Drosophila melanogaster: one gene and its partner. The protein of the gene in region 1 interacts with the protein of each later gene in a pairwise test. Each region holds a gene or a part of one and is shown on either strand. Other genes may lie near its edges.

Region 1 (14,533 bases):
CTCCTTGGAGATATTACTGCCTTTTGTTGTTGCCCCCTTCCAGAAGAATGGGAAAGTGAGGGAGCAGGAGTGGGAGTGGGCAACTCCCTCCCTGTCCGCCAACGGAGTTTCCAGGGTTTCCAGGATTGAGGTTTATTTATGGCCCACGGCTTTTTGGCCAGCATTTTGATACCACGTGTTTTGTTGGAGTTGCCAGCCAAAAAAAAAAAACAAGGAGTTTGGGCCAACAGGAAAACATTGGCATAGATAATGGCCAAGCGAAAGAGGAAGAGCGTGAGAGGAGGAGCACCGAATAGGACGGGGAGAGTGAACAGGACAACAGTTGCTAAAAAAAGGAAAACAAATGACTCATTTGTTCCTGCCAATTCAAAAGGGAGTGCAAAACAAAATGGTCAGAAGGGAAAATCAATTGAATGGAGCATAAAGGAATAGCAGTTAAAAATATAGTGATATGGGGGGAAGTTGTATAGTCGTGTTTTATAATTCATTTGTTATCGAATTGTATAGATAGTTGGCATTTATGGCAATGCTCATGTTATAATAAAGATATAAAAGTTAGAAAACGCATCCTCACAATTTGTTTTAATTCCACTCTTCTTGTGAAATCTTATTCACTTAATTAAATATGAATACGACCTCATTAAAGGTCTTTGTACTAAAATCAAGATAGAAGTTTAAATGCATTTTTTCAAATAACGAATGCCAAATAGTGTTTTTTTTTTGGTAAACAGAGTTGTTGACAACTGGGACTTTATGTAGACAAACCAGCCCCCAAAGTTTTCGCATAAAAATATGTACAAACCTTTGCGCAATATCCCCCATTCGATATTTCTTTTCCCTGCGAAATAAGAGAAAACAAGAGAAATGTCATTCAATTTCGATACATAGAATGCTGTCACAAAAGCCCCAAGTCCCAAACACGTTTTGGGAATTACATAAGCGAATCTTCGAAGCAGAAAGGGATCCCGGGGGAGGGGGAAGAAGATGACGGTAAGAGTGAAGAGGTGGACTTTTGCGGGACAGGATTATGGGTCGAAAACAGGAAAGCAGGCAAAACAAAAACCGGAAGAACAGGAAAAAGTGGGCGAAATGTCAAAAAGTGGGCAGCACAGATGAGAATAGCGAAAATTCAAAGGGGGGAGGGGCGAATATGAGGCCTGTTCTACTCTTCTGCCCACTCAAGTCTAACTCCGCCGCTTCTTCTGTTTCAAACATCGGAATACACTAAAAATATGCCATAACAATCGTACTTTTCATCATTAAATTCAAACCATCAAAAGGGAATAGGATACAAATTAAAGAATTTTAGTGATGAGTGGAATTTAATCTTCAATAAATCGAAGTCTTCTTCTATAAATACCACCAAATCTCAATAATAATCCTGTTGCTTTCAGTGTAGGAGTTGCAGAAGAAGAAGAGCGAGGGAAGCAATTCGAGAATCTGCTTTCAAGGTCTGTTCTGCAGTGGCAGAATCGCGAGAGAGAGAGGATTGCAGAAGAGAGTGCATAGAAGTTGAATAGCTCGTGGGGAGAGGGACGTGGCGCGGGGTGGGGCACACAAGCACCTTGCACTTGAAAACCGAAGTGCGGGCAGCGCTGCTGCCGTCGACGCCGTCGATGCATTTGTTGTTGTTCTAATGCGCGCGCAACTCTCGCTTCTCTCTCTCTCTTACGCTCCTTCTCATCCACGCTCCTTCGCGGTTGCGGTTGTTGCAACTCCAACTCGAACTGCGGCAGCGACGGCGACTGCGACTACGGCAGCGACTGCGTTTCATTTTCGGCATGTTGCAAATTTCGTTTTCATGCAGCAAATTTCAATTTCATGTTATAAAATCGCTCGATTTGCACTGGTATTAGTGGATCAGCGCGTGTGTGTGTGTGTGTGTGTATTTTTAGCTCTCTGTCAATTTGCCACTTCCTTTTCTTTTTTTTCGCTGCCGGGGTCTGCTTCTTCGCCTCTTCTTCCGCTCTCTTCGCAAATTGATGTTGAAGGTCAGCGTGTTAGCGAAAATTGCATTATATTTGCATGTGTTTCTGTGTTTGGCTTATCAAACTTGGTCACATCGCAATTTCAGGGAGTTTTCGGTCAGTCTGGCAAACAAAAAGTTTGCCAAACTCAAATAAGAAAAACGAGTGGCATGAGATCATCGGTATACAAACGCTCAAACGTGCACAGACATGTGCAAGCCATACAAAATATAATTTTCTAAGGATAAAAACCAAAAGTAAAGCCAAAAAATTACTTTATTTTCAAAGAAACATTGTTAAATTTCAACTTTTTCTTTAAACCGCACTAAGAACTTTGTTTATAATGTGTTTTTAATTTAAAGAGCTGTTTTACAAATAATCGTTAATCTAGATATTTTTAAACTTATTTTTTCCTTAAATTCCTTTCATAATCATGAGAAATGGCGAATTCAAATAGTTTAGGCACTGCGGACGCCATTTGTTAAATTTTTTCATTTTCCTTTTTAGCACTTACTTTTCCGACTTCATTTTCCAGTTTACCTGTTCGTTTTTACCTGGTGAAAACATTTGTTTGGTCTAGAGTGGGCGGAGTCTCTCATTCTACTGACGAATTCAGAGCTGAAATTTATGGAATCTTCTTTGCGGAGCACCCTGTATGTTTATTACCCATACATGTCTGTAGTTGTGTGTACCAGCATAAAAAATAACCCCGAAAATGCTGAACCGAAAAGTGCGTGCGCCTCTTCATCCGCCTCTACTCCTTCCTCTTTTCTGGCTCTTCTCTTTTTACCACCCCCTACCGTTATCCTTGTGGTTGCTGCCACAAAGGACAAATGAAATTTCAGCTCGAATATGCCGTCTCGCTCACTTTCACTTGGCGTCACGGAGAAAGATTCACAAAAGGAGGATTCAGGATAAAGTACAAAGTGGGAGGGAACGTAGAAACCCCCTACTCCCCGAAAATGAACTCGAAAACAAATGGAACTGCCCTTAGGAATGGCACCAAACAAATAAAACATATTTGGTATATATCATTTGACTAAAAGCATTTTTGATATTTATTATATTTGATATGTATATGCCATATATACTCCTTGAAGTGCTTTCATACATTCATGATCATTCCTATAAAGCTAAATTTGATAGTTTAGGACTAACCTTCACTCATTATGTTAAAAATTGATTTAATGAGTATAGAAACGGAACTAATACCTTAAATTAGGCTTCTAAGTATGTATTTGTTACTTTCTTTACCCATAAACTTTATTTCATAGATATCAAGAAAACTCTTGAAATATTTTCCAACTACATACTTTGTATGTAGTTTCCTTGGTTGACATAATGGTTTCAATCCGATTGGAGTGTAGCACATCCGTTCGTTAAGTGGGAATATGTATGTCTATAGGGCGAATGCTGACTTCATTTCGCTTATGTAAGCAGAGCTGCGTGAATCAGACCCACATTGAAGCCCCCAGCCGCCCAAAAGAGGCGCAAAAAGGGACGCAGCCGGAGTTCTGGACCCTTCTGCTGCTTGCCTAACGAATCCACCATCATCTGCATCCGTCGACAAGTGGCAACAAAATGGAGTTTGGGTTATTTTTGGCAACGAAACGAAATTACGACACCCTCCGTCGAGTGAAAAACACGACTCTCTCCGCCGTTTTGTCTCTTTTTATGGCTATATATTTGGCATGTATTATGTTTACCGCTATGTACGAAGTTTGAACGGTTTGAGGTTGAGTCGGGTTGCCATGCCAGTTGAATTTCAAACCCTATTTTGGGTTTCAAAGTTGCTTCCGATTGGATAAACGCGGTAGTATGAGTAATTACAAATAATGCTGCTCTGCCAGAGGAGCGGAGTGATGAAGGAGGGTTTGGATGGATGGAGGAGTACGGGTGGGTGTCGAACACATCTGCCCAAAACACCCTCGGGACTTTTGAAGCGAAGGAACGGCGAAAAACACAAGGAAAGGCCTGCACAAATGGATGGCTATGGCTAAAACGTGGGAGGGAGGAGGTAGGGAATTCGCGTTGGGTTTGCCTATCCATCCGAACGAGTATCTTGCAGATACTCTTACGCCACCGCGAAGTTCCTCCTTCGAAGAAACCGCTTTCACACCCTGGTTAGAAGCCAAACAGGAAGCGAAGAAACACGCAGAAAGTTGCAAAGAACACACACACAGGCATCACTTTAATATTTGAAGTTATGGGACATAAATAAGCAGAAGTTTACCCATTAAAATGGCTTAGAGATCGGAACTTAGAGGCAGTAGCCTAATATAGAAATAATTATGAAATTTCATTTCATTTCATACATAGGTTCATACCTAATTCCTAATTTAAAAACATAACTTAACGACCTGGCAACTCTTTTTTCGGCCCCCAGGGTTGCAGTCCTGCATTGCCATTAATTATGCAAATTAAACTTGATGCGTGTCGCCGAAGAATTATGAGCTCAGCTTTTGCCCGCGGCTTCAGACTCTCTCCTCTTCTCTTCTCCCTTTTCGCTTTGAACACATGCCATCTTCTTCTTCTTATTATTATTATTTTTTCGTTATGCATTGGTCATTAAAATTAGGTCAGAGTCGAAGAGAACACAAAGCGAAATCCTTGAGAATTATAAAGCGGCGATGACAACAACAACAAACTAGTTCGCCCCTCCTTTGTTCTTTTACCCTCTCCACCGACGATCCTTTAGCTAGAACAACAAACAACCTATACATACATAATTACATACATGCATACCTAAATATACTCGTACGTACGATCCTATTACGCAATGGCTGCCGATCTGCCTACCTGACTGACTTAATTATTATATCAGAACCCTCTGGTTCTCTCCCTCCTGCTCGCTCTTCTTCTACCCGGCAGGTCAAAATCGAGAGAAAAAAATGGAAACTGCGCAGTTTGACTCGAAAATAAGTGGAATTGGACCTTGACTTTGCACCGCAGTTACCAAAAGAATAGAACCCCGGATCCTGAGATCCTGAGTCCTATAAGAAAACCCCATCTGGTTGCGAGATCCCTTCCCTTTACCACTTTTCGTTCTACACGTGCCTGTTTTTTGCCATTTCTACCGCTTCTTCTTATTCGTTTTCGCATACTTTTTTTTTTTGCAACACAGCGGGAATTTTTATATGTGTGTATGTACATATATACACAAAGGCGAGGATACAATAAAAAGGCTCTACGTTTGAAAGCTTATTTGGGTTTTGGTGGCAACTTTAATACCCTACAGTCAAAACACAAATAAGTAGTCATAATACAAAAGTTACCTGCGATATTCGTAATCTTAGGACTAATATCAACAATTTAACTATTACAATTATTCATACATATGTACATACTTGTTTCAATTGAAAGCAGTAATAGGTCTGCGTATTCAAGTTTTAATTGGTTGTTTTAATTCAAGGTAGGGTATCTTCAACTCTTTTTCGTTCAATGTTTTAATTCTCTTCCTTTTTGTCTCTGCCACTTTTATTGCCAGCACTCGCATGCATTCATTGTATTTGTATTTTTGTGCAAATGTGCTTGCGAATATATAGGGGATTATATAGATACGTTTGTATGTAAATATATAACAGCAATCGAAGCGTGCGACAGAGAACGGCAGTTCCGACAGAGGGAGATGGAGACATCGAACGGCATTTCCACTTCCACTGGAATTAAAAGATTAGCCACGGAAAGCAAAAGTGCGCTGCAAGTTCGAGTTCCAGCGACTCGGCAACCCTGTTTTCATGTTGTTTACTTTGCCGGTTTCTGGCACAAACACATATGCACGCTCCATGCATGTGGAACAGAGCCAACGCGCTCGACGTTCGCATGGCAACTGCAGTCGAACATGTTGGAGGGGAAACGACCGGCTTCGAACTTGATTCGAACCAGCTTCGAGCCGCAACGAAAGTGAATTTTGGCGAATCATCGAGAGCTCCTAATTGTAAATGAAATGGATGTAAAATCTAAAAATTCTAATAAATAATTAAATTTAGATTATTTAATAATAATCGAATTCATTTAATTTTGGAACCAAAACATAGGGAGAAATATATATTCCTTTTTGGCTATAAAGTTAGAAACATGTTATTATTATTCTTATTAGTTTAAAGAAAATACGGCTTGATAGAAACATTTTCTATGGAAATGAAGCTTATTAACAAAAGTCTAAACTCCTACATATATTTTTAAGACATTTAATCTAATCAAGTATGTAACTGCTATCAAAAGTTCCGTTGTAAAGTGGGAAAATGTACCAAATTCTGGCCTACAGTGGAAAATTCTAGTGAATTAGACACTTTTTTTGTAGCCCCTTCCGCAATTTTCCCCCACCATTTCTCATTTTAGCGCCAAAAATCTGTTCAGTTTTCCACCGAATGAAAAGCGAGCGGTTGGCGGCGGTGGTGGAAAGTGAAAACCAGCCAACCACCACCCACCAACCCCGAAAAACGGAATGAAGAAGTGCGGAAAATCGGAGTGGAGGAAAACTCCAACTTCGCTGCCAATGCCAAGCAGCGACGCCGGCAGCGATGTTCGACGCGCGATGTTCGAACGCGGCGAGCAAGCACAGACCAAAAACAGTTTGAATTTCGCTTTCGATCTGGTTGGTTGTGTTTTTTGGCTTCTCTCTGCGTGCGCCGCTCGTGGTGGGAAAAAACGGAAAACAGGAGAACTAGCAAAACCGAATAAATCGAAGAGGAACACTCCAGTTTACAATTGTCCTGCGACTAAAAACCAATCGGAAATTTACACTATCCTCTAATCCTTTTTGTTTGCCGGCAAAAAAATAAGAGGCGCAAAGAAATAAACGCAGAAAGCGAAGCAAAATGTGAAAAATTGCCGAACATGGCGCCGCGTGTGTGAATGAGAGCGAACGATCGTGTGAGAGGGAGATAGGGACGAAGCGAAGATAAACAATAAAAAAAAAACAATTTTTGATACTTAAAGTTCTACAACAACAATAAACTCAGCTCAGGTACAACAACAAAACAGAAAATTACGCAAAACACAACAGACTGCATTGACGGGAATTTTTCGAAGTATTTTTGATACACACAGCAAGGAGGTGTACAATTTTTAAAGCAATAAGTGAAAGCAATTACCCATCAAGTTAAAAATAATACCAATCTCGGTAGAAACCCACTCGGAAAATCCAACTGAAAACAATTGAAAAAGGCAACCGAAAAGTTAAAACCTAAACAGACTAAATCGCTAAAATAACAAGCATTTACTATACACAAAAAAATTAAATTCCGTATAAAATCAGACTTTTGTCTGCAAAATTTCTAAAAATTTACAAAAACCCACTAAAATTCACGAAAACTCACTGGATCTGCCAAAACCATCAGTTGAAATATATTCTGGAATCGGTTCAAAAATAAATAAATATATGCCAGCAGCATTTATATAGACCGCAAATCGCACCATAAAATCGCGAAAAAATCAACAAGCAATATTTTGAAATTCATAATCGTTGGCAAAATGCTGATTCGAAATAGAGATTGAGGATTCTCGAGGACAGCCAACCCAGCCAACCAACCAAGTTTTTCGCCGCAACGAGTGCATATTAAGAGGAAAAAACACAAATTTATGGCTCCGCGTCGCAACAGCAACATCAGCAGCAGCGGCAACAGCACCCAGCAGCAGCACCAGCAACAGTTGCAGCAGCAGCACCAGACGCAGCAGCATCAACTGCTGCAGTTCTACGCGGAGAACGTGAATTCTTCAGGCGTCCTAATGGCGCCCATGCAGGGAACCGGTGGCGTTGGCGGCGTTGGCGGCGGGGGCATGGTCCACTGCTGCCTGCCCAGCGGAGACTGTCGCAAACTGGACACCCTGATACACCTGAACGAGCTCTCCCTGGCGGACTGCATCCGTGTGCTGTGCAACAACGAGAACTGCAGCGCAGGCCAGTACATGCATCGCGAGTGCTTCGAGTGGTGGGAGGCGAGCGTGCTGCAGGCACTGAAGGCCAACGGTCGTGCTCGATCCTGGTCGGAGCGGCAGCGTCTGCAGCACCTGTGGACCAAGAAGGGCTACGAGCTGGTCCAGAAGGCCTGCAGCTGCAAGTGCGGCAGGGGACAATTGCGCAAGGACCTCGACTGGGTGCCGCCGAGCAGCCAGGGCGTCATATACCTCAACGGGTCTGGCAACCGGCCCACTCTGGCCAATGGCAGCCTCAGCGAGGACGACGACAAGAAGAAGGCCAAGAAGAAGAGGAACCGCAACAACAACAACAACAACGGCGGCGGCGGTGGTGGTGGTGCTGGTGTCAATGGCAACACCAAAACCCCCTTGAGCAACAACAACGGCAACAGCTACGCCGGACTCACGCCCAATCCCAATGTGGGCGTCATAGGGTCGGGTTTGCCCCACAACAACGGCAACACCGCCAGCAATGGCAGCAGTGGCAACAACGGCTCCTCCGGCGTTCTGCAGACCAGTGCGCTGGCCACTTTCAGCAACATCCTCAATACGAACAATGTCCTCGGCCTGGACCTGCGCGCCAGGGCTGGCAGCCTATCCTCCAGTGGAGCTGGCAGTGGATCCACCTCGCCCTCGGACTCCCAGTCCAGTGGCGAGATATCCGTGTCGCCGGTGCAGCAATTGCTGCCACAGCAGCAGCAGCAACAGCAGCAGTCGCTGCTGATCCAGCCTCTGGGTCCAGCTTTCGGCAGCAACCTTTTGCAAAATGGATTGGGCTTGTCCAAGAATCTGCTGATTGCTCCCCAGCAGCAGCAGCAGCAGCAGCTGCAACAACAACAGCAGCAGCAGAATAACCTGCCTGCTTTGGCCAATATCAGCAACTTCAAGCCATTGGCCAGCTACGAGCAGCAGCAACTTGTGCAGCAGCAGAAGAACAAGGAGGTCGAACTCTATTCCGATCGAGTGCGGTAAGTACAAGATATCATCATGATAACCATATAGATTATAAGGAGCTATAGTCTTATTGTCTAGAATTTCATCTTAAATACTTGGTTAACTTGTTTAACAAAGCGAAATTTGTGTGGCGAAATTCCCCAGCATGTGGTTGGGGTACATAAGCGTTTCAATATTTATTCACAAAACTTTTATCAATTACACTGAACGACAAGGGGGGCCTTAATATTTCGAATTTATTTACTGCAGTTGTTATAAGTTTTGTTTAGCTTTTCCTTTGATAAAACTTCCAGTGGCTTCAGGTGTTATCAACAAACATGCCAAATAGATACCAGATTGATACTCTCGTTCCTTTATCGTGTTGCACAGTGTTATCAACAATTGAGGCGTTTGTTTGCCCGTTTTTCGTTCGTTTGCCGGTTCCATAGATTATATAACCTTGACGACTGAACAGCTGCGAAATACAGACAATATTTGCAGAAATATTAAATAAAATGCGCTGGTTTATTCGAGAAATTTGCGAATATTTTCCCCTTAAGGAAGTCGACGATTTGCATCAACTCAGAGGGAATGAATAAAATATTATAATCTTTTGTTTTGTTGCTTTCGGTGGGTCAAGGCTTTCTTTCTTTTATTCTGCTGTAGTTCTTCACTCTTCATTGGCATTCTTTTTACTCATAAATCATAGGCAATGAAAAATTATTGAAATTTATATGCTGCCATATAGCAGCGGACATTTATCGTATGGTATGTTTCCCAGATGTGTTCTTGTTCTTATTTATTTTGTGCCTACTTTTAATATTTCCGTTTCCCAGAGCAGCGAATACTATTATTTATTTCATTGCGATCAAAAAAAAAAAAAAATGCGAATAGGAGAACAACACGAAGAGGAATTAGATCGCTTTTTGTGTTTTTTTTTTTTTTAATGTTGTTGTTTTGAACGCGATCTTCAGGTTTTAAGAATCCCAACCCCTCACCCTCTGTCCATCTCTTTCGCGCGGCAGCTTGCCCTCTCTTTCCAAGCTGAGAACTTTGTTTTGCCTTCTATGGCATAATTCCATTCATTCTTCTGGATTTCGCTCTCTATCTCACTCTCTGTTTTGCACACTTTTCAAGGCCACACTTTTTTTTTTGCATGTCTCTTTTTTTTAACCTAAAATGCGGAATTGCTGTTTTAGCGATAAACAGTAAAATCTGCTTTTTTATAAAAGCTTTTAAGTAAAAGCTATATTTAGTTCGGCCGATCCTTTTCTATTTAAACTATATTAGGGTATCCAAGTTTCGGTGTTCTCTCAATTTCAAATGCAATTTCTTGCCTCTTGCATTCTTTTTTGGTTCCTGCTTATCAGCATTTTTGTGATGATTTGCGTTTAATTCAAAAATAAACGTCCATAAAATTGTTTATCGCCTCTCGTTTTTTTGTATTTCCATTTCTCATTTCTTGTTTTGTTTGCATTTACTGGCGTTTATTTTTAGCGCCACACGCGGCCCATTTTTATTTTATTTAATTTTTGTTGTTGCTGCCATGATAAACAAACTTTGCTGATTCAAAAAGGTGAGCAAAAAAAAATAAGAAAAGAGGAAAGCCAAAAGTTCTTGCCTTTCCCTTTAAATTTGCCGTCTCTGTTTAATGAATGAATGTGTTCGGCTCGTCCCCTCTCTTTCTTACGCTCTTTTAACTTGTTTTGTCTGCCGGCATATTTGTGTTTTCCTCTTTTTTTTTTGTATTTAGCGTCCAATGTCAAGGTTAAGACACATTTTATGTATTCATTTTCGGTGGGTGAATGAGGCGGAAGTCTGTTTGTTTTTGTGCCTCTTCCAGTTTCCCGTCTTTTTTGCAGAAAGCTCTTCCTGCTTGCCTCTCTCTCTCTCTCTATCTCTCATTCTGTCTTTCGTTAGCTGTCTGCAAATACTTTGCCATTCGTAGGCCCAAAACTCTCACGTGGGCGTAGCATTCCACCCCCCTGATTACTTGGATTTTCATCCAATCTGCAAAAAATGCCGCAATACTTTCCCGAAAGTTCGAAAACGCAACAGCAGCGCGCACAACTGCAAATAAATTGCGAAAGGCACGCCGGGAATAGAATAACTACAACAATTTGTGCAACTACAGACTATAAAAACAAAGTAGCAACAAAGTCGGCGTCCTGCATTTGCATACCAAACGCAACGGGTGTCTAAAGGGTGTGACTAGCTGGCTGGCAATTTGAGATGTAACGGAGTAAATTGAGATACATTTAGTTGCTATTTTTAGATACATACATATGTTACCATATCGCAGATACAATGTGATTCTATCAACTAGGTGAAATCATCATCACTAATTATCATAACATAGGAAGGCAGAGGTTCATATTTCTCAGACTGTATCATCAGAACTTAGGGTATTCCGATAGTCGTGTCACCTTAAACCCTCTCTCTATAGTTTTGTTTTGAAAGCCTCAGACAATATGCGCCAATCCCCCTGTTATAAGTGCGGTGATATGGTGTGAAAAACAAAACTATAGCGAAAATTAACAACTTTCGCACGACTTTTGTTGTTCTGACTAAGGCTGCGAGAGTGAGACAGCTGGATGCCGGAAGATTTGAAGGAGCGAGAAAGAGGTAGCGATATAGCCATATCGGTGCATAGTTTATCTGTGGGCCCCGGGGTTTCTGTATTCCGTAGTAAATATGAGTGAATTATAGTCATGAGGCAGAGCGAAAATTTAATTTTAAATTCTGTGTTTGTTTTTCTCGATAGTTCACCCCCCCCCCCCCTCTCGTTTCCATACTCCCCACAGCTGAGTACTAATTGAGCACGTTCCAAAAACTGTCGTCTAGACTTAAAGCATAAAGTTGTTCTGCACTGTAAAATTTTTATTAACGCGGAACCCCATTACACATCCATATCGATGACGTTTGTTTTTCTGTTGTTTTCTGCTGATTGGTGGGCCCCGCGTATTGGAATAGGTTCTGTCTGATTTCTGAATATACTTTTCTATATAGATATGTAAGTAACATACACTGTGTGAGGTTAGGTTTCACTTTTCGCTCGGCGTTGATAAATAAACAAAAGACGACGTCAGCCGAGCATGAAATGAAATGGTGCGACTTGGATCTCGATGGCTATATGTGGGCACATGGCTATGTGGGCACATGTAGGAGGTTACGGGGTTACAAAAGGCACGGGGAAAAATCACTTGGGGTTTTTGGGGATCGTTTAATGGGAGTAGCTTAGAAAGATTATAATAGCAAAGTATACAACATAAAGTTATGGTTCTAAGATGGAAATAAACATTTTCGTAAAGTGTAGTTAATGTATTATATTTACATAGGGGATCCATAAAAGAACGGCGCGGGGAAGGGGCGGCTCAGCAATTAACGACCTTTTTTTTTTTTTGGCAGTCAAATTGAGGAAACATTAAAAGTCGCGCCACATCAGGCACTTTTTGTTCGGCAAAGCTTTGTTTCGGACACGCTGAGTAGTTCCATCGCAACGGGTGACCACTGTGGCAGACTCCCCCACAGAATTCGTAACCGCAACCAAATCTGCAAAACCATTTGCAAATTAAAGCGCATAACGATGTGTGGGCAGATAGAAGAGAAATGTAGGAGAAATGGCGAAGGGTGTGGGGGTGGGTTTGTATGAAAAAGCCACCTAGGGAAAAGGAGTTGTGCAAAAAAGAGTGGGTGGGGGTAGAGAGAACCGGGGAACTACACACCTTTTGTTGAATATCAAATCAAGTATGCATTGCTTACTCGTTTTCCACTTGGTCCTCCGCCCTCACAACCGCAAAAGCTATTAATGAAATCTTTGCCGAAACGACACGCACACTGAAACTTAAATAAACATATGCGCAACACAGGGTAGCGCCTGCACAGTGGTTGCAAACAGATTGGTCACGATATTCATAAATTGATTATATTTAAAATTGAGTATTATAGCTTGGCTGATGTTGAATCAAAATCAGAAAAGTAAATAAAATTCATATGTTTTTAAATTCCATATATTCCTTAAACATACTAGTAGATGTTTTAATATCCACTGTAACTGGTGCATTGCAGCAGTCCGCACACCCACACCTTCTATGGGCGCCCGTCTATCGAACGGCGCATGACTCTCCGGCGGAAAGTTCCCTCGACGTCATTATTGTCGTATTTTCATTGCCAACAGACAATGCCAGGGCAACTCCATCTCCGCCTCTTCCTTTTCGCTCGTTTTTCCCTGGAACCTCCTGCTGTACTTGCCACCCACATCCGTAGCCACATCCATCTGTATGTGGCGCACATGTGTGTGGCTCCATCCGCAGGCTTTTTGCCAACTTTAAAGGCTTCGTTGGCTCAGCAGTTTCCGTCCCTCTCCGCTGCGTTCGCTCTTTCACTCACTCTGTTATGCAGAACTTAAATCTACACGGGAAAATATCGGTGAACCCAAGTTGAAGAAGAAAATTCTGAAGCAATTCACTTCTTCGAAATATTGAAATGAAGGCTATGAAACTTTAAGTCCGTATGTACTATAACTAGTTAAATGCTAAAATTAGTTTTAGATTTGCGTTGAAGTTTGTTAACATGTGATAATCACTCATGTTACCTTTGCCGTTATCTCAGGAACCAGACTCCTTCGTTCAGTGCACTGCTTGCTGCACTGCTTCCCCATTTCAGCCAGCATGATGTCGTCTGTTTGTTCATAAGCCAAGCTTTGGGCGTGTGTGAGTGTTTATCTGTCTGCCTTTTGAATGTGTGTGTGTGTGTGTGTGCTTTTAGGCTTTTGTGTTGGGCCATTCAGCGAAATGAGAAAGAGAACCCCAACTCCTTCTCCCCCCCCGCACTCCGTCGCACTCCACTCGTTGCCACTGCAGGCTGAAATTGCAATCAATATTGTTGTTGTTGTCGAGCAGCTGCCAGACACAAAAATAAAACGCAACGTGCAAAAAATTGCAAAAAGAAGAGTGGAAACAGTAAAAACGAGCCTGGCGAAATGAAAGAGCAAGGAGGATGAAAGGCATGGTAGGGAGTGGGCGGAGGGGGCGTGGATGAACAAGTTGAAAAGCGAAAAGAAAAACAGAAAACAGAACAGGAACGGAGCACAAAACATGAAATGTTTGTGCAAATGAAACAAAACTGTTGTCCTGCTCCTCCTTCTCCCCTCTCACTCGCGCCTTATCTGTTGGTCTCTTTCGGCCCCAGCTGGAGTTCTGATTGGAACGCTCCTGCTGCAGTTGGGATCCTATCGGAGTACACTGTAGGAAAACAATGGCAATGTTTTTCATTTGGGCAATAAAACATAGTTTATTCCAACTTAATACATATTGTTCTTTGGATATGGAAATACTTTGGAAATACTTTGAATATTTTTGCATTGAACTCAAAGTACTTTTCTCCCAGTGCTGTTATGCATTTGTGTGGGAATGTTTGTTTTGTTTCCTATTTGATATCCATTAAAACGATTCCACATTCGGCGTCTGTCTGCTGCCCCTGACCCTGTCATTGAATAAACTCCCTACTTTCTCCCCTTTCTCTTCAGGTCTCCACTTACCCCTATTATTTTGCCCATTCAATCTGATTGTGAATGCATTCGGGCTTTTGTGGGCGTGGTGGCCCCTGAACTGCATGGGGATTTTGTGTTGCATTTGCAATTTGTGTCGCTTGCAGTTCGTTTTCCTCTGCCATTCCGCCGGTTTGTCTTGTTTATTTGTTTATTAGTTGCAATT
Region 2 (17,462 bases), 7.1 Mb from region 1:
GGCCGGCGCATGACTCCTGTTGACTCAGCGCTACTTTCGCTGACAGATTCGTGCGCAAATATTAGCAACCAGTGCGGCCACAAATTTACGACAGTTGACATTGACTTATCTGCTCGAAAAGGGGTTCCATATATGTAGCTACACTATAGCTACTAGGTGGGGTGGGGTCCATCTGTGACTTGGGTTAAGCTGGATGTGTTTGGTCAGGTCTAGACATTAGACTGCGACAGTTTTGAAGTGGTTTATCTAAAATGGGGTTCTATTAGCCAGGAAAAGGCAATATTAGATCATTATACAAGGAGCACGTATCTACCATGAAAACCTAATCAAAACATATATTTAAATAATTTAGAAATAAATAGAAAAATGAAAGTGACTACCATATTCACAAAGTGAAGATAATATAACAGCTTTGCTAGCTTAATGGCTAGCCATTCGTTATTCGTTGGTATCTTTAATTAAGTTAGTTTCTCTTATTTATGACCGTATTTACTTGATGTGCTCAGGCATCCCTCGTAGGAAGTTGAACCCGGCAGAAATTTCTGCCATCTATTGTCTTCTGCAGCTCATTAACACACACTCATTAGGATAGCTATCCTGTTGTTTTACCCCACTTTGACCCCGGACGGAGAACAATGGCAATCAAAGTGGGGACAGGCAATAATCCATCACATGTCACCAAAGTTATTTCGAGCTCGTCTGTTGACCGGCATTTTCTAGGGAAAATCGCAAGATTTTCCAGGGTCAGGAGCAGAGGTCAGCAAATAGTTTCAGATTCGCATTCGGTTCAAAGTTGAGTGCTCTCAGTGAGTGGAAATAAATCTGCGTTGATTGCTCGAAGCTGATGTAACCGACCTGCCGCAACATTCGAAGGATACACCGAAGGATAACCGTGATTCGAGAGAGACAGACAGTGCGTTAAACCCACCTCGTGTCTTTGACCGCCACTCCTGGCTGATGGATGTGAATTTAAATCCACTTAAATCGCTCAACATCCTTTGCATCGCCCATTCGAACAATTCCCTTGTATGCAAATCGGATAATGGCTAATGGCAGCACCAACAACTGAATTACAATATAAACAGTACGAGCAGCATTTAAAAGATTTTGCCGAGGCACTTTCAATAAAAGTGCCCCGTGGCCAGCGACTTATAATTGAGAATCGAAGGTCACAAAAGTATAGAATTCTCTAGCTGTATCCTGGAAACGCATAAAGGGGGCAAACTTTCACCAGCTGCACTCAAAGGCAACCAATAAAACTTGGTCAACTCTCAAGTGACGGAAAACGTGTTTGTCAAGGTTAAAGCGAGTCCGATTGCTCCTCGAACAACCAGCGAATAGGGGAAACTGCAGTCAAGGTCAGGCAGGACGGGATGGGTTGAATTGGCCGATCCGGTGCTCTCCACTGGTCTGGTTGGGGTTGGATGGCCAGGCAAACAAACGGACGCCAACGGGAAGCGGATGCCCAGACAAGGCAATTACCATAATTGCCGTACACACATGTGCGTACAAGAAGCAAGCTGCAAGCCGATGATATGCATGCATACATAAGTACAGCAGCTTTGGTTCGGTTGGTTGAAGGACACTCTTCGAAATGGAACCGGAAGGATTGGAATTGGGATTGGGATTGGGCGAGTGGAATGCCCCGCGGGAGTTGAATTGCAAATAGTTTCGCCATTAGTTGTCGTGCAATTTGCATGACCAGCATACCCACACTAATGAGCTATCCGAGACCCATTTGTCAACCTGTCGAAGTGGTTGTGGTATATTGACCCGATTCTCATACCGAACTTGGCATAATTCTCATTATATTCATTATTTGCATTATTTTCACGCCATTCCCGCTGTTCACACAGCTGTTGGCCATTTGGATGGGGGCCAGTTCTCTGGCAGACCATAAAGATTGGCTAGAACAAGAACCAAAGCTGGCTATTTTCGGATGCCGCGTTAGCCCTTGGCAACGGCATCAAAGGCCAAACTGATCGAATAACCAAAACACAAATATGCCGTCTCTTTATCGCTCGAAATTATTTATAGAGCAGCTGCTTTTGAGTGATAACAGAGGCTGGTCTAAAATTTGCATGATTCACAGACATAACAGTTGAAAAATATTGGATAAGCGTATTCATAAAATTCCCATTCTATTGCTTTATTTTTAGCCAGGAAGTCTGCTCTGCATTCAAATCAATGGGCCAACGTTGCGTATGAGTAACGTGCGTTCAAAGTTAGATAAGATTATTAATTTAAAGCGAATGTAACGTCAAAGATTTATGGTAATCTATGTTTGTTAAATCTTTATGAGCCCCAAATGCTTTTCTTGTGAATAACTGAGAAATAAATGGAATGTTAATCTTTCACAATAATTTTGGCCTTCAAATTTGCTAATTTCTCTAAAAAATACACCCAACGAAATGCGCAATATAATTGTGAAAAATTGACAACCGAATCGTGAATGTCAATGAAAATTCCAACGATTGATTTGTAGTATTCTAAATTTATGAATTGCTGGCAAATTAATTTCGCTAGGGAAAAAACCGATCCCCTTGCAGTCAGCTGACCCACAAATAATCTTTTGCTATAAATCGAGGGCGCGGTTTTTAAGTCAAGTGTTGCTATAAAAATCACGACGTTGATTGGAGGGCTTTATCGGTCAAGATAGCTCTACCCGAATTCCACCGTCTGGCTAATTACACATATCTAATCTGACGAAGTTCTTTTTCTGGCTACTGGCTACTGGTGTGATTAGGTTAAGTTTAATTACTATATAGTCATGTCGCCCCAGTCATGCGACCAGATATTTCTGCCTCGCATGGTGGCAATCTTTATGTTCAGCAAAAAATTTTATGTTTGCTGATCTCTTAATTGCCCAAAATGACTTGGGCTTGTTTTTGTATGCCAAGTTTTATGGGCATCATATTTATTTGCTAATAAAATGATTTAAGTTTATTGAACTAAAATATGTGTGCTATTATTAGACGACTATCTGAGAATCGTAGACAATAATTTAAGTAGGCATTGAGTTGCATATCCTAAGTTAAATATAATATAGACAAAATGATTGCCAAGCTGCGCAAGATTTATCCCAGTGGAAAGGTGGTTAGCCATTCCCTCGCTCCCTGCTCCACAGCGGATCTGAACAATGCTGAACTTGTTTCCAATGTCAAGGTAAGCTAATCAAAATCCTTTCGGTATCCAAGTCCGCTAAATTCCCTTCCAGAAAAGGCGAGCCGAATATCTCGTCGAACGAATGCAGCGACTGCTGCTCTTTCTGACCGTCTTCCTTCTGTTTCCCGTGGTGATCTTCGTCATCTTCAAGTTCTTGATTATGGAGCCGCTCTACGGAAACAGCGATGACAATGTGGGCATTGGATCCGGCGTAGCCACGGTAATTGTGATGCATGTCCTGGTCACGGGCTATATCCTGCGCCTGATCTTCCTTCAAGAGATTTCGAGCATGGAGAAGCTGGAGTGGGAAGTTCTGATGCCACCAAACACCCAAATTCATGGATCCGTGTTCATTGTCCTGCTGCTGATGTCCTACTGTTCCCTAATAATTGGCTTTCCCATAGCCACCTTTTTTGCCCTGAAATTTGTGGTGCTCAAGAGCTATGCCCATATCAATGCCGATATTATTTCGACCATTTGCACCGTAGTTGCAGTTCATGCAGCAGTTGGCTTTTACATCTACCGAGCCATCTATGCAAAGAGTGTGACGGCCAAAAGCGCCAAAATATCTCTGTAAAATAATTGTATCTCCACCTTTCGACTATCTTTGATATGCCAATACATCACAATACTTTCTTCTGTATATATCTTGAACACTTCCTGCTTTCATCATGTGGCTGACATATTTTTCGTGAAAATTGTATTCGTATTCGCCAATGCGAAAAAATGCTACCCACGCGATGATTTCTGTTTTGGTTGAAAGCAATATGAGTTGGAAGCGCATTTCAGCCGTCACTTGTCCATCCCGCGATTGGGACTTCTTGACGGCCACATGTCCAGGGATTTGTGTTTGTGGGACAAAGAACGAATGCAGCCTAAGTTTTTTCCGCATGGAAAGTTTACGGTAGTGACATGGCCAATGCCAACTTTAAACTGCACAACGTGATCTTATTTATTGCCCATATCGACCGATTTTTGTCAGCTGCCATGACTTTGTCTAAATATCTTTAAAGTCTTTGACGACATGGAAAGGCAACAGGTGAAACTCGTGATTTAAGTACAATACTTACCATTTTTTTTTTTTTTTTGAGCACATTCACAACTCCAGAAGGCAGAATTTCTTTGGTGACAGTTCCATTTTTCATCTGCCAGTAGGAATTAGTTCATTTTGATGTTAATGCAACGTGAGAAGGTGACACCCTCTTGTGATGGGCAATTAAATGCTTCGGTAGCAATAATAAATGTCGTTTTATTGCCACATTTATGCGATGCACACGCGGCGACACTAACAAGGCAAAGAAATATCAAAAACAAAGGCCGGGCGAGAAATTCACATGTTTATTTGTTCTAGTTGAATGAACGTGTAACAACTTGCAGTTAGTATGCTATTGGCCCGAGCGCAGCTAGTTGACTGAGTAAACAAACAGAGTTGGCAGCAAGTAAACAAATGGCCCAGAGCAACAGGTAATTTCCGTACAGCATCCTCCAGGCGCATGTGCGGAAATTGCGTTAGAATGGGCCGATAAATAGCTATCTGAAATTCAAATAGCAAGCTTTAACTAGGTGCATTTTCTTATAACTAAAATAATCTAGTTGGATGCACTTTAAAACGAACAAACCAAACAAATAATATCTTTTCAAATTTAAAGTTAAAATTTAAAAAACCGTTAGAGCGCTGCCATATTGTCAAAAAGGATAAACGAATGGCAGCCTTGCACCATCGGTAGCGCCATCTAGCGTGCATCGGTAGATACCGCCACCGAATATTTAAATATTATATATAAATATATTTGTAGCTTAATAAATATTATTTTAGCATCTAGAATCCTTAGTATTTATATCAGAATCAGTTCATCCGAGAAATACCTATCACCGCATGTTCCATCTATCAATTTCTGCTTTCACTTAAAAGTTGCCTGGCGTGTGAATTCCTACTAATAGATAGCTCGAAAATAATAATAAGTCAAAATGTCGATGATATTCAACACGGAGTATGGCTACCTGGAGGCCCTAACGCGCGGATTCAAGAACGGCATGCTAAAGCACTCGGACTATCTAAATCTGACCCAGTGTGAATCCCTCGAGGACGTAATGATCAGCATCCAGGGCACGGATTACGGTCTCATCTTTGGTGGCGAACAATCAGCGCCGTCCGTTGAGGTGATCGAAAGATGCCTTAGGGATCGTCTGCTGCAGCAATACTACTACATACGCAGTCATTCGACGGAGCCGCTGACCACCTTTATGGAGTTCATACGATATCCGTTCATGATCGATAATGTGGCGCTTCTGGTCGCTGGCCTAAACAATCACCGATCCATGAAGCGTCTGCTAAGAATGTGTCATCCGCTGGGCGAATTCGATCAACTGGGCGCCATCGAAGTGGCCTCGAATTCTGCGGAGCTCTTCGACGCCGTTCTAATTGACACGCCCATCGCTCGGTTTGTGCCACGCGATTTGCCCATGGAGTCGTTGCGTTACCTCGACGTGGAGATTGTGCGTGCCCATCTGTATCGTGCTTATTTGGAGAAATTCTACGCCTATTGCAGCCAACTGGGCGGCAATACCGCCAACGTGATGACCAATCTATTGTCCTTCGAGGCGGATCGTCGGACCATTACAATAGCTGTGAACGCTATTGGCAGTGATATCATGTAAGATATCTGTGTTGCTATGAAATTCTTCATATTATACTCATAATGCCCACCTTCCAACACTCAGACCGAAGGAGCGTCTAAAGATGTTCCCCACCTGTGGCTACCTGCCCAAAATAGCCTTGGCCTCCATGTCCACTTTAAATGATACGGATAAAATAAGGGATGTTTGCAATGTGTTCGATGGCTATGGCAAAATGTTTGACAATTTGGAGCGCGACTCGGACGGCATGATTACGCTGGAGGACCGCTTTCTCATGATGGAGGCCAAGAAGAATGTGCAGACCTTCCTGCAGCAGTACCATTTCGGGATCTTCTACTCGTTCATTAAACTTAAACAGTTGGAGGTACGCAATATCGTCTGGATTAGCGAATGCATAGCGCAGCGACAGACGGACAGAATCAACGCCTTCATTCCCATACCCTTGGACTAGAAACGCTTTTGCTTTCCTTCTTCGAAATGTTTTCCCTTTGAAATGTGTGTTATAATATATAGGCGTTGTTATAAATAAAACACATGCATAACAATTTCGCATTAATTTTGGCGCCAAATTTGTTTCGTTTGCGTCCCGGCTAACCACCCATCAACTGGGGTGTGTGTATTTGCTAACCAATCGATATGGACGATGCCGACAAAAATTATCGATATCAATCGACTTAAGGCCATGGATGCCCGACGCACCGATGTTTTTTGCACATCACTAACAACGATGTTGGCAAATGAAACGAACAAGCTGCTGCTTTCCTCGCAGCAGGAAAAACCAAATCACTACACGTAAATAGATGCTAACTAATGCAAACGATGGTTAATTTGACGTGCAACCTTTCCGCCAACCGTTTCAGCTACCTGAAGGAGTTCCGCGTGGAGCAGTGCCAGTCGTTTTTACAGCACAAGTGCAACCAGCATCGCCCCTTCGTCTGTTTCAATTGGCATTTTCAAAACCAGCGTCGGCGTCGTCCAGTGCGAAAACGCGATGGCACCTTCAACTACAGTGCGGATAACTATTGCACCAAATACGACGAGACCACTGGGATTTGTCCCGAGGGCGACGAGTGAGTAGAAATGTTGTGAAATTCATAGTTTCTGATGGCCCGTGAAAACGCTGGACGGGACGATTGCAGTGGCGGAGGATGGATGAGACAGCAATAGCGAACGACGTTGTATTTTTTTTGTTTCCTCTTTGCGCTCTCCTTCCTTCGCGATGTGTGTGTATCTCTTGTCTTCGTGTTTACAAACAAAAACCATAGTGTGTTTGTGTGCAGGGGGGTGTGGTGGGGGCGGTGGCAGGGGCCTGGCGTTGTCTGGAAAGCCAAAAGTGAAATTGTAAGTGCGTATGTGGGCGTGCTGCTTGCTGTATCTCTGTGCATGTGTATGTGTGTGCAGGCGAGGTCACCACCGTGCAAAAGTGAAAGTGATTCCAGCTCTAGTGGGCTAGCAAATTCTTATCAGCATCCGTTTTGTGGTGGTTGTTGCTCTCTTGTCGCATGTATACATGCACAGACGCTCGCATACACACAGGTACGCACAAACAAACACACGCACAGACGTAGGGCATCGCTACAAGTGTGTGCGTCATTGTTTTTATTGCGTTTCGCTTTTGCGTGTTTTCTTCTTCGTTTATTTTGATTTTCCCCCGGCAGCTTCGAAATGTACAGTTATTGTGGCTGGCGAGCTTTGGAGAAAAGCTCTGTGAAGTGTAAGAACGGGCTAAAAGTAAAACGCAATTACGCTTTGCGAGAGACAACAACAATGTCTGTTTTTATGACCCAGACTCGAGGTCCAACCTCTGACCCCGACCTCCATTCTATCCATTTATCGTTGTAGTCTCCTTACAGGGTACGAAGGTGGAAAGAAAGCGGTTTTAGTTTTGAAAGAGAAATTTCTTTTACTTATTAAAGAAATACCCTCAAACATGTATTAAAATGATGATTTTGCTGTAAATGTACAACTTTGTTGTTTTTTGTTACGGTTCTTTTTAATTAATGGGTATCATACAGTCCATTCACTTAGCCTCGTCGCCTGCTTTGACGTCACTAAAACTCCCTTTCTCCCCATTTAGATGCCCCTACTTACACCGCACTGCTGGCGACACCGAAAGGCGATACCATCTGCGCTACTACAAGACATGCATGTGCGTCCACGACACCGACAGCCGAGGATACTGCGTCAAGAATGGACTACACTGCGCCTTCGCCCACGGCATGCAGGACCAGCGCCCACCGGTTTATGACATCAAAGAGCTGGAGACCCTGCAGAACGCAGAGAGCACACTGGACAGCACTAATGCTTTGAATGCCCTGGACAAGGAGCGCAATTTGATGAACGAGGATCCCAAGTGGCAGGACACCAACTACGTGCTGGCCAATTACAAGACAGAGCCCTGCAAGCGCCCACCGCGCCTGTGCCGCCAAGGATACGCTTGTCCACAGTACCACAATAGCAAGGACAAACGTCGCTCGCCCAGAAAATACAAGTACAGGTAAGATTTCCCCTGAATTCATCCTAAAGTCAGTTTTAAACCGCGATATACCATTGTTTTAGGTCCACTCCTTGCCCCAATGTCAAGCACGGCGAGGAATGGGGAGAACCGGGCAACTGCGAGGCCGGCGATAACTGCCAGTACTGCCACACACGCACCGAGCAGCAGTTCCACCCGGAGATCTACAAGTCGACCAAGTGCAACGATGTCCAGCAGGCCGGATACTGTCCGCGCAGCGTCTTCTGCGCCTTTGCCCATGTGGAACGTAAGTATAGAGGATTCGATGAGCTAATATATAGGACTCAGCGTTGTGCTCCACAACCAGTTGTTGTAGGGATGTGTTTAGGGCCAAGTTATGATATTACAGTTCTAACTTAATGTTTGTCTTTTACTCGCCTCATCCATCAAACCGCAAATCTGTTTCCAACTATCACTCAAATCCTTTGAAAACACGTACATCAATCAATGTTTGCTTTGCCGCTCGGTGTTGCTTGTCCATGTAACTACTCCCAATCCAAATAAAGCATGTTCAATTGACGAGAAGACGCGGGATCACACGGTATACCTAAACGAGCTTATTTCCAATGCCTATCCTGATTTAAAAGCTCAGGATGCGTTTCAAAGGGTCGATAATGTACGTATTACCGAAGCAATAACACTCATCCAAATAACGCCATCGATTTGCATCGCCTAAACCTAAACGTACTACCACACATCGTTTGCCGCTCTAATCCAGCTAACCATCATCAACTAACTGCTTAACACTTTCGATAAGCCATTTAATCATGTGTCCTGCTCTCCTCGATTTTTTTCTTTTCGTTTTGTTCTCTTAGTTGTTGAACATTGATGGTAATAGCACCAATAAAATGTTGGTAGACGCTTTGGAAAACACAACAAATTTCAGCAAATTTTTAAGTTTCTCACGACCCCTGGACAGTCGTTGTGAGTATCCCAGAGTCCTGACATGCGTACGTCTAAGTTATACACTAGAAATCAGTTCTTCGTTTTGGTTGTGGACAAAGAATGTCAGCGCTTAGATAGCAAATGTCGTGACCCCTAGCCTAACTGAAATTCAATAATTTTTTGTCTTCACTCTTTGCAAGCAGCTTGCTCAATGGACGATCCGCGCGAGAACTCATTGTCGGCGAGTCTGGCCAATACTAGCTTATTAACACGTTCCTCGGCGCCAATTAACATTCCTAATACGACTCTAAGTAACTCAATTAACGGTAAGTAGTCATCAACGTCCTATGAGTGCCAACTAATTGCTAATGCTAATACTCCATTCCATTTGCACAGATTTTAACTCAGGTAGCTTTGCCGTCAACATTCCCAGCAGCTCGCTCACCTACAGTCCCACCAACCATGCCAATCTCTTCAACGTGGACGCCTTCAACTATGGCGGCTCAAACAAACTCAGCAATTCCCTTTCGGCCACCCAGAACGATAGCAGTCTCTTCTTTCCGTCGCGCATCATATCGCCTGGCTTTGGCGATGGCTTGTCGATTAGTCCTTCGGTAAGGATATCCGAATTGAATACCATACGCGACGACATCAACAGCAGCTCGGTGGGAAATAGTCTGTTCGAGAACACTCTCAATACGGCCAAGAATGCGTTTAGCCTTCAATCTCTGCAGTCGCAAAACAACAGCGACTTGGGTCGCATCACCAATGAGCTGCTCACGAAGAATGCTCAAATTCACAAGTTGAACGGACGTTTCGAGGACATGGCATGCAAGCTAAAGATCGCGGAGCTCCATCGGGACAAGGCCAAGCAGGAGGCGCAGGAGTGGAAGGAGCGCTATGACCTAGCACAGATACAGCTAAATTTGCCAGCAGAGCTTCGGGACTTGTCCATACAGAAATTGAAGCAATTGCAGGTTAGTCGCTTAATTAATTTCCCAATTCCATGGGTTTTAACCTGCTACCATTTTAGTCCAAGCTGCGCACCGACTTGGAGGAGGTCGACAAAGTATTATATTTAGAAAATGCCAAGAAGTGCATGAAGTGCGAGGAGAACAATCGCACGGTTACTCTGGAGCCGTGCAACCACCTGTCTATTTGCAATACATGCGCTGAATCGGTCACCGAGTGTCCCTACTGTCAGGTGCCGGTAATAACCACCCACACCTAGAACATGTTTTATCAGCAACAGGACCACAAGTGGCCCTTTGGCTGAAAATCGGATAGGGATGGGAAAGGGGATTCCGATGGGATATGAATGGATCATGGGGATCAAGACCGCGAACAGCATGACAATGTGGTACTCACAAAGCAAACTTTAGTCTTAAGCAAAACGTTGAAACTTTTGAACAGTTAGGATTTGACACATGCCTACTAATTGTGCATGTGGCAGGGAATATATAATTTATGTTTTCAATCTACTCAAAATATGCAAATTATCGTCATGAATATTAGTAATTACTAGGCACAAACTATTAATTGAATTAGCTAGCTGCTCTAAACGAATAAGTATGTAATTTTATTTTTGTTTATTTTTTCTCATATCGAATCGAATACAGGAAAAAACATTTTAAATTGATTTTGTACTATGATTTATGTAACCAACTCTTTTAATTTTGTTTAATATTCAATGTTTAGGCATACATATTTTCTAATCTACTGCACGAATTTGCAATGTCTCATTTATTTTTTTTTTAACCACATATGTATCTCTATATTTGTATTTAAATATGCTACACTTTCAGTCATATTGTACTTTTCACTAGTATTACATAAGAAATTATGAGAACTAAACAATTACAAGATGTAATTGAATGAAAGATATATAAATATATAATATATTAATTTTTCTAGACACTTTTAGCAATTGACTATTAACAAATTTATAGAAACCAACAAATTTAACAATATATTGTCGCATAGAAGAGCAGAAAACAACCACAAACAAACAAATACCACCAGTGATTTTATATAAGCCGATTTTCAAACTGTATTTTTTATGTATGTGTTTCAAACTTGTGAATGCAAACTACAACTAAAAGCCAAGACAATGGTCATAAAATCAATGTAACTGACGGGTAATCAATATTAGTCAGTACTCAGCTTTTATTTTCCTTTTTCAAATGCACAAAAGTAATTATAGACGTTGAAACGAGAAGTAACTAAAGGCGACAACGCTTTTCCTTATCGAAAGTTCATTTCATTTTGTCTTATTGAAAACCAAGTTGAATGTATTAAAACACTTTGATTTTTGTTTAGGCCTTGGTGCAGCTCGTGTAAGCCAATGCCAATTAACCAGTCACAAAATTATCAACTTACGTATATAATCTATTAGGTTACTTTGTGATTTGAATAGTGCTTTAAGTACTTACTTTGCAGATGACTTCAATTTTCATTTTACTTTCATAGTCTCAACTGGACGCTTCCAAATTAGTAAAAGCATAAAATGAATCGTCAATGTCAAAACGTAGTATTTAAGTCATATTAAATCCAGCATTTGGCTGATTGTACAAGAACGAATATGAACAGATATATATTTATGGGAAATTTGAACGCAGATTCGATGAGTGTGATGTTGAAAGCATAAACAATAAAAGTAACTCGATACAGCGAAATGAACAGAGTTTAATGAAAATGTTAACCAGAGTTAATGTAAAACCGTCTTCAAAAACCATTGTATTTTTCTGCGAATTAAAATTATCAAACGTAATCAATTGGACAATGTTGAATGAAACTGAAACGTGTTGTTAGCTAGTTGAGTTGAATTGATAAAGATGTAATCAAAATGAAACTGTTCTGGGAATGAATTGAATATGAATATGAAATCAACATAGGCATTTATTTGAAACAAAAGCAACACTATGAATATATATATACAAATGAAAAACTGAATTATATTATTACAAAGCTAACTAGGAAAGGCAGCGCAAAGGCTCTTATCTCTGTGTGTGTTTGTACTATGTTTTGTAGAAGCCAAATCAGCAAGAAATACAAATAATTAATAAATATAACAATAAACAATTGTGTGTTAACTTATAAATGCTTTAATAGTTTATGATACAAGTGTACACAAAAAAACTAAAAATCACGAGAACAAACAATGAGAAAATTGGTTTTATAATGGAGCTGTTGAGTCGCAAATCTATTGTGTGTATTACCAAACTAAACTGAAAACTGAATGCATACCTCTCTCAGAATATCACTGACTCTCATCACCGGAGACACAGTTTGAAAGATTTGCTAATTTACTTTATGAATCTCCACGAGATGTACATGGGATGTCTATCGAACTACGCGTTTTTTCAACCCCATTCCAAAACAAACCAATGCAAAGCAATTTTACAACATGTCAAGAAATCCATTTCACGCCATCTCAACTGTGAAGAATCAAACAGAAACCAGATCGAAAAGTATATGTACGTTACATACATATATATTTATAGATGACACATGTATTTTGTATACGCTACTGTAAGAGTGATTTTTATGTGATTTTGAAACTACTTGAATATGTGATCCAGAAATATATAAAAAACAAAAAAAGAACAAAAAAAAAAACGCAAAATAATATTTATATATATAAACGCAAGCTAGCGACAGCAAACAGCAATATAACAAATCAAATTGTAAACCAACTTGACTTTATGTACAACAACAACAATGACGACAAAAAATATAAAATATGTTGTACAGCTCCAGCTCCATTTAGAAAACAAAAGGCAAGAGAAGTAGGATTTTGGTAGTGGAAGAGATATGGACACACGTAGCATACTTAACAAATTGTCAAAAACAAAAAACAAAAAAACACGTAGACCAGAACAACATCAAAATCTTAAGGATACAAAAAAGAACAAGTAAATAAATGTCTAAATTATCAAATTGAATTATTAGCTAGCTTATAGGGTTCTCAGTTAAAAATTTACCAGAGGAAATACAAACGAGTAACAAAAGCAAAGGCAATTACTTCTCTAGATCTAGAACTAAGAACAAATGTTTGCTACCAATTGTTTCAACTAGTTAATTCATAATAAATTAACAAATTGTAGAAAACTGTAACTGAAGGTTTAACAAGCATAGCGTAAAAAAAAAAACAAAACATGACAACTCTGAACACCGAACAGGAATTTTAAATATGAAATCGCGGAGACCGAGCAATTTGCAACCGAAAGTACTGTCTAGTATTTTAAACTTGTCTACAACAATTATGAATATGAATGGATTTATGCAGTTTTGTGCGAACCAAGCCCACACAGACACACACAATAAGTGAAAACTCGACGAACTAAGTGGAATCAATTTAAATAATTTGTTTTTTTTTTTTATCTAGAATACTACAAATGTGTGTCAAGACCTAAATGAAATAAGCAGAATTTGAAACTTTTACTAGAAATAACCGCTGAACTAGATTCGAACAAATTCATCAGCTCTGTATAAGTTATAACTTACAACTAGCCTAGGCTATAGGAAATATGACAAATATATTAATCCATATATAGAATATCTATGAAAATTGTATGCCTAATTTGCGGTTCATGTCTCGGCTAAATCTTACTTCAGTTTTGATCAGTTCAGTTTAAGCTTACATATCTTTTCTTTATTTACCTCCGATTTTATGGAGTTGAATGATATTAATACCGATGCGCCGATACTGGTCAGATGCAATAAAGCTCTTGACTTATACAATTTCTTATCGGGGATTTATTGGCGCGGAAACGCGGTCATAGCAATCAATTTTATCACTTGCTGTATAAATTAAATTACATCCCCTGATGTTATAAAACTTAAAGACCAAAAACAATATTTGCTTAACGATGATATTTTGCGCATCATTATTTCCATTTTGTAGAGACGACTCGCTTTATTTCCTCGCCTCACCGGGCAATGTTGTGTGTTATTGCTAAAGTTATTGTCAAGAATGAATAATTAAATACGAGTATATTTAGAGAGAGACAGAATTAAGAAAATTAGTATTGTAATGTTTGAAATGACAAAAGATACAAACAAACAATAGACTCGGATTCAAAAACACCCTTCCACATTTGTAGTGAATGCAACCTTAACAAATCAATTATTGAACTAGCTATGCCCCACAGAGGATATGAATACAAATATTTGAATATTTATATATACATATTACGTATGACCTATGGCTAGCATTATCAAATTATTATCAAGCAAATTGTGTAGCAATTTAGTTATGTATTTCGAAATCGAGAACAAATGTTTGTCCAAGGCGACCACAAAAGCAACAAAAGCATCTGCCTCAATCCAAATATATACACACCTCTACATATATATATATATATTTACGAACCTAAGTGTTGGCAATAATCGAGCGGACAGCAGGAGTTTCTATATAGGCATTTGCTATGGAGAGTTACTACTATGTAAACTATGCAATTAACAAATTGATAAAAACAAATTACTATTTAAAATGAAGATTAATAAAACCGTGTTTAAAGCAACTTGCCCATCTCCGCCTTCCTTACCTAATTTGCTGATGAGAATGCCGCAATTTTTGCCCATTTTTTTTTTTGTTTTTTTATTTTTTTTTTTTTATTTGCAGTCTGCAGACAAGACAAAGCCAAGGCGCTTGGTTCCCATGCGTGATTTCAATCTGGCCCAGCCACACAGCCACAACAAAGAGCAGCAGAGAAAAGGGCAATATAAAAAGGTAAAAGGCAGCGCAACATCGGCATCAGCAGCACAAAACTCGTAAGAATTTTAAAATGCACGATAATCGTTCAGTGATAGCTAAGCAAGCCGACAATGCCCCGGCTGCCTGCCTGCCCTGCCCTTGCACTGATAAAAAAAAACCAATCAACCCATTCGATCAGCTTTTCTTCAAAAATTAGTATCTTTATTGGCGAAGATATCTTGAAATATTATTAAAATTCTTTTACATTTTATTATTTATTATTTATAAACATATTATTTTGTTAGCATCACAGCTAATCCATTCATTCTGGGTGGTCTCCCCTTACAACTTTGTTTTTTTTCAGTGCACCATCTCATCTCTGCCACTGCCACTTTAACCTGAGCCACCGAGGTCCAGGGAGCCAGTTTGAAACAAGGTAGGATGCTGCCGTTGCTGTTGCTGCGATATCGCCGCGTTCGCGCGTTAAACACAAGCGCAACAATTTTTATTCTGTCAGCGAACGCGTGCCTGTATTTGTGTGGTCCCGGCCTCAAACTGGACTGGACCGTGGCTCCATGGGCTCCTGCTGCCTGCTGCCTGCTGCCTGCCATCCTTACCATTCCTGCCACCTCCACCTCCTATCTCCTTCTCTACCTTCTGATCTTGCGTGGCGATCTCACGCGCTTGCGCCTGCGCCGAGCAGCATTGTGAGGGAGCACACTACAGTGCCAACTGGCGGGCATATCGGTGGATGTGAAGATGTGGTGACCCAACTTGGCTGGTAGCTGGCTGACTGGCTTATAAATAGGTTTTATGAGCGCAAAAGTGTTGCCATTTTTCATGCTGGCAAATTCATGCCTCCGACCCGCGCCACCATCATCATGGCCCCAACTATTTTTAGATGGACATTTACAAGGGCAGCACGGGGAGGAGATCTGCATCAGCGTCAGGCTTTCGCCTCGATCTCGATTCGTGTCCATGTTCTGCAGTGTTTCGCACGCTGCACGCTACACGCATTTCCACTCGAAACTTGTTCTCCTGCCGCTGCCATCGCTTCCCCCGCCGTGATTTGTAACACGATACATTTCGCCGCCGCCGACCGGAGGAGTAAGGGTGTATATATAGGACCTACGATCCGATCCGATCCGATCCCTGCTGCTTCTAATGCATTTTTCAGCTCTTTTGCATTGCGACTGGGTCCGAGATCAGCTCATTAGGCATTTTTAATTTGACAACGCGCGCAATTTATGTGGGAATTTCACGGCGTGTACTTTGACTCATCGAAAAGAGTCGGAACGAAACGAAACGAAAGACTTAGGCAGCGAACTTGGCGCGCCAAGCTCTGCTCAAAAATCAATTTTCAATTTGCTGCAGTTGGTCGGAATGGTTTGCGTTGGAAGGAGGGCAAAAGGGACCGGACAAGACGGAATGGGGCTCGTGTGACTACCTCTGGGCCCGGACTGACTGACTGACTGACTGCCTGCCGTCCTGCCTGCAACATCCGCAGATCAAAGCCAAGCGATGGAGTGCGCAAGGCGACCCCGAAATCGAATGGCAAGGAGACTGGCTTATTAGTGGGACAACGAAGCGATGGACACCCTTCCAAATTGTAGTTTGGAGCTTACACTAATACTAATTATAGTAATTAAAAAGGCCTAATGGAAACGAAGGCTGCTGAGCACAAAAATAGTAGTAAGCTTCATAATCAATTTAAGCATTATGTAGGTAAAGACAAAGCAACCCACTAAAGTGTGCATGGCACTTATATAGAGTATCGAAAATCTATTTAACCGGCACAGGCGTTGACGTTGATGTTGGCCCCAACTTAACGAAGTGTTGCTTGCCGGTCCCCGCCCTCCGGCCCTCCCTTTAACCCCTGGCTGCCGGCGGTCTCAGCATTCCGCGTGCGGTTTTTGTGGCCGGGCGGCATTTGGCCACGAGCGGCGCATAACAAAAAGGGAGTACTGTATACTGTATGGCTGTCTGTATTGACATTTCGAAATTGAAAACCCTGCGAAGATAAAAATGTGCAATTTTCTAAGACCCCTTAAGCACTTGAGAAGGAACAGCTTTCGATGTTTCACCTATGATGGTGTTTTACGTGCTGTTGCTGGTCATCAACTTTCCATAATCGGCGCGCAGACAACAAACAACTTGAGCCTTCGACGCGGCCCGCCCGCTGAGTCCGTCCACAACAACAACAACAACAACAACGATACTTACAACAAAAATGAACAACAACAACACCAACAAGAGCAACAAGCGCCACTTTGCTGTCAATTCAAAATGATAAAGCAAACAAATATTAACCCACTCCAAGTGGACGCATGTGGCTGCCGTCTCATGGCACTTTCTGACAGCCCAGCGACACTCGAGTCTTTCCGTTCCGATCCGATCCGAACCGAACCGAACCGATCACATCCCATCCCGGGATCTTTCACTGAGTCTGGGACTGTGGGACTGTGGGAATGTGCCACGGCCTGCGTCGCCGTCGTTTCCCCACATTCAGAAAGACACTCGCCTTGCCACGGCTTAAATGCTGTTCCAGGCCATAATGACTTT

Evidence for each region.
Region 2: the proteins of heca (region 1) and unk interact in binary tests that used the Drosophila melanogaster proteins (3 or more experiments, as listed by UniProt).

What each region holds. Positions count from the first base shown.
Region 1 is NT_033777.3:30,271,394-30,285,926, forward strand, and holds the start of heca (headcase), read left to right. Parts: upstream 1-6,538; 5' UTR 6,539-7,550; coding exon 7,551-8,854; intron 8,855-14,533. UniProt on the Drosophila melanogaster protein: Required for imaginal cell differentiation, may be involved in hormonal responsiveness during metamorphosis. Involved in an inhibitory signaling mechanism to determine the number of cells that will form unicellular sprouts in the trachea.
Region 2 is NT_033777.3:23,146,911-23,164,372, reverse strand, and holds unk (unkempt), read left to right. Parts: upstream 1-6,510; 5' UTR 6,511-6,529; coding exon 6,530-6,594; intron 6,595-6,662; coding exon 6,663-6,872; intron 6,873-7,879; coding exon 7,880-8,299; intron 8,300-8,361; coding exon 8,362-8,564; intron 8,565-8,823; coding exon 8,824-8,933; intron 8,934-9,132; coding exon 9,133-9,241; intron 9,242-9,402; coding exon 9,403-9,528; intron 9,529-9,598; coding exon 9,599-10,179; intron 10,180-10,235; coding exon 10,236-10,433; 3' UTR 10,434-12,281; downstream 12,282-17,462. Other genes in the region: CG13829 (uncharacterized protein), read left to right, coding at 3,055-3,165, 3,218-3,742; VhaAC39-2 (vacuolar H[+] ATPase AC39 subunit 2), read left to right, coding at 5,134-5,819, 5,887-6,253. UniProt on the Drosophila melanogaster protein: Essential for late larval/early pupal development.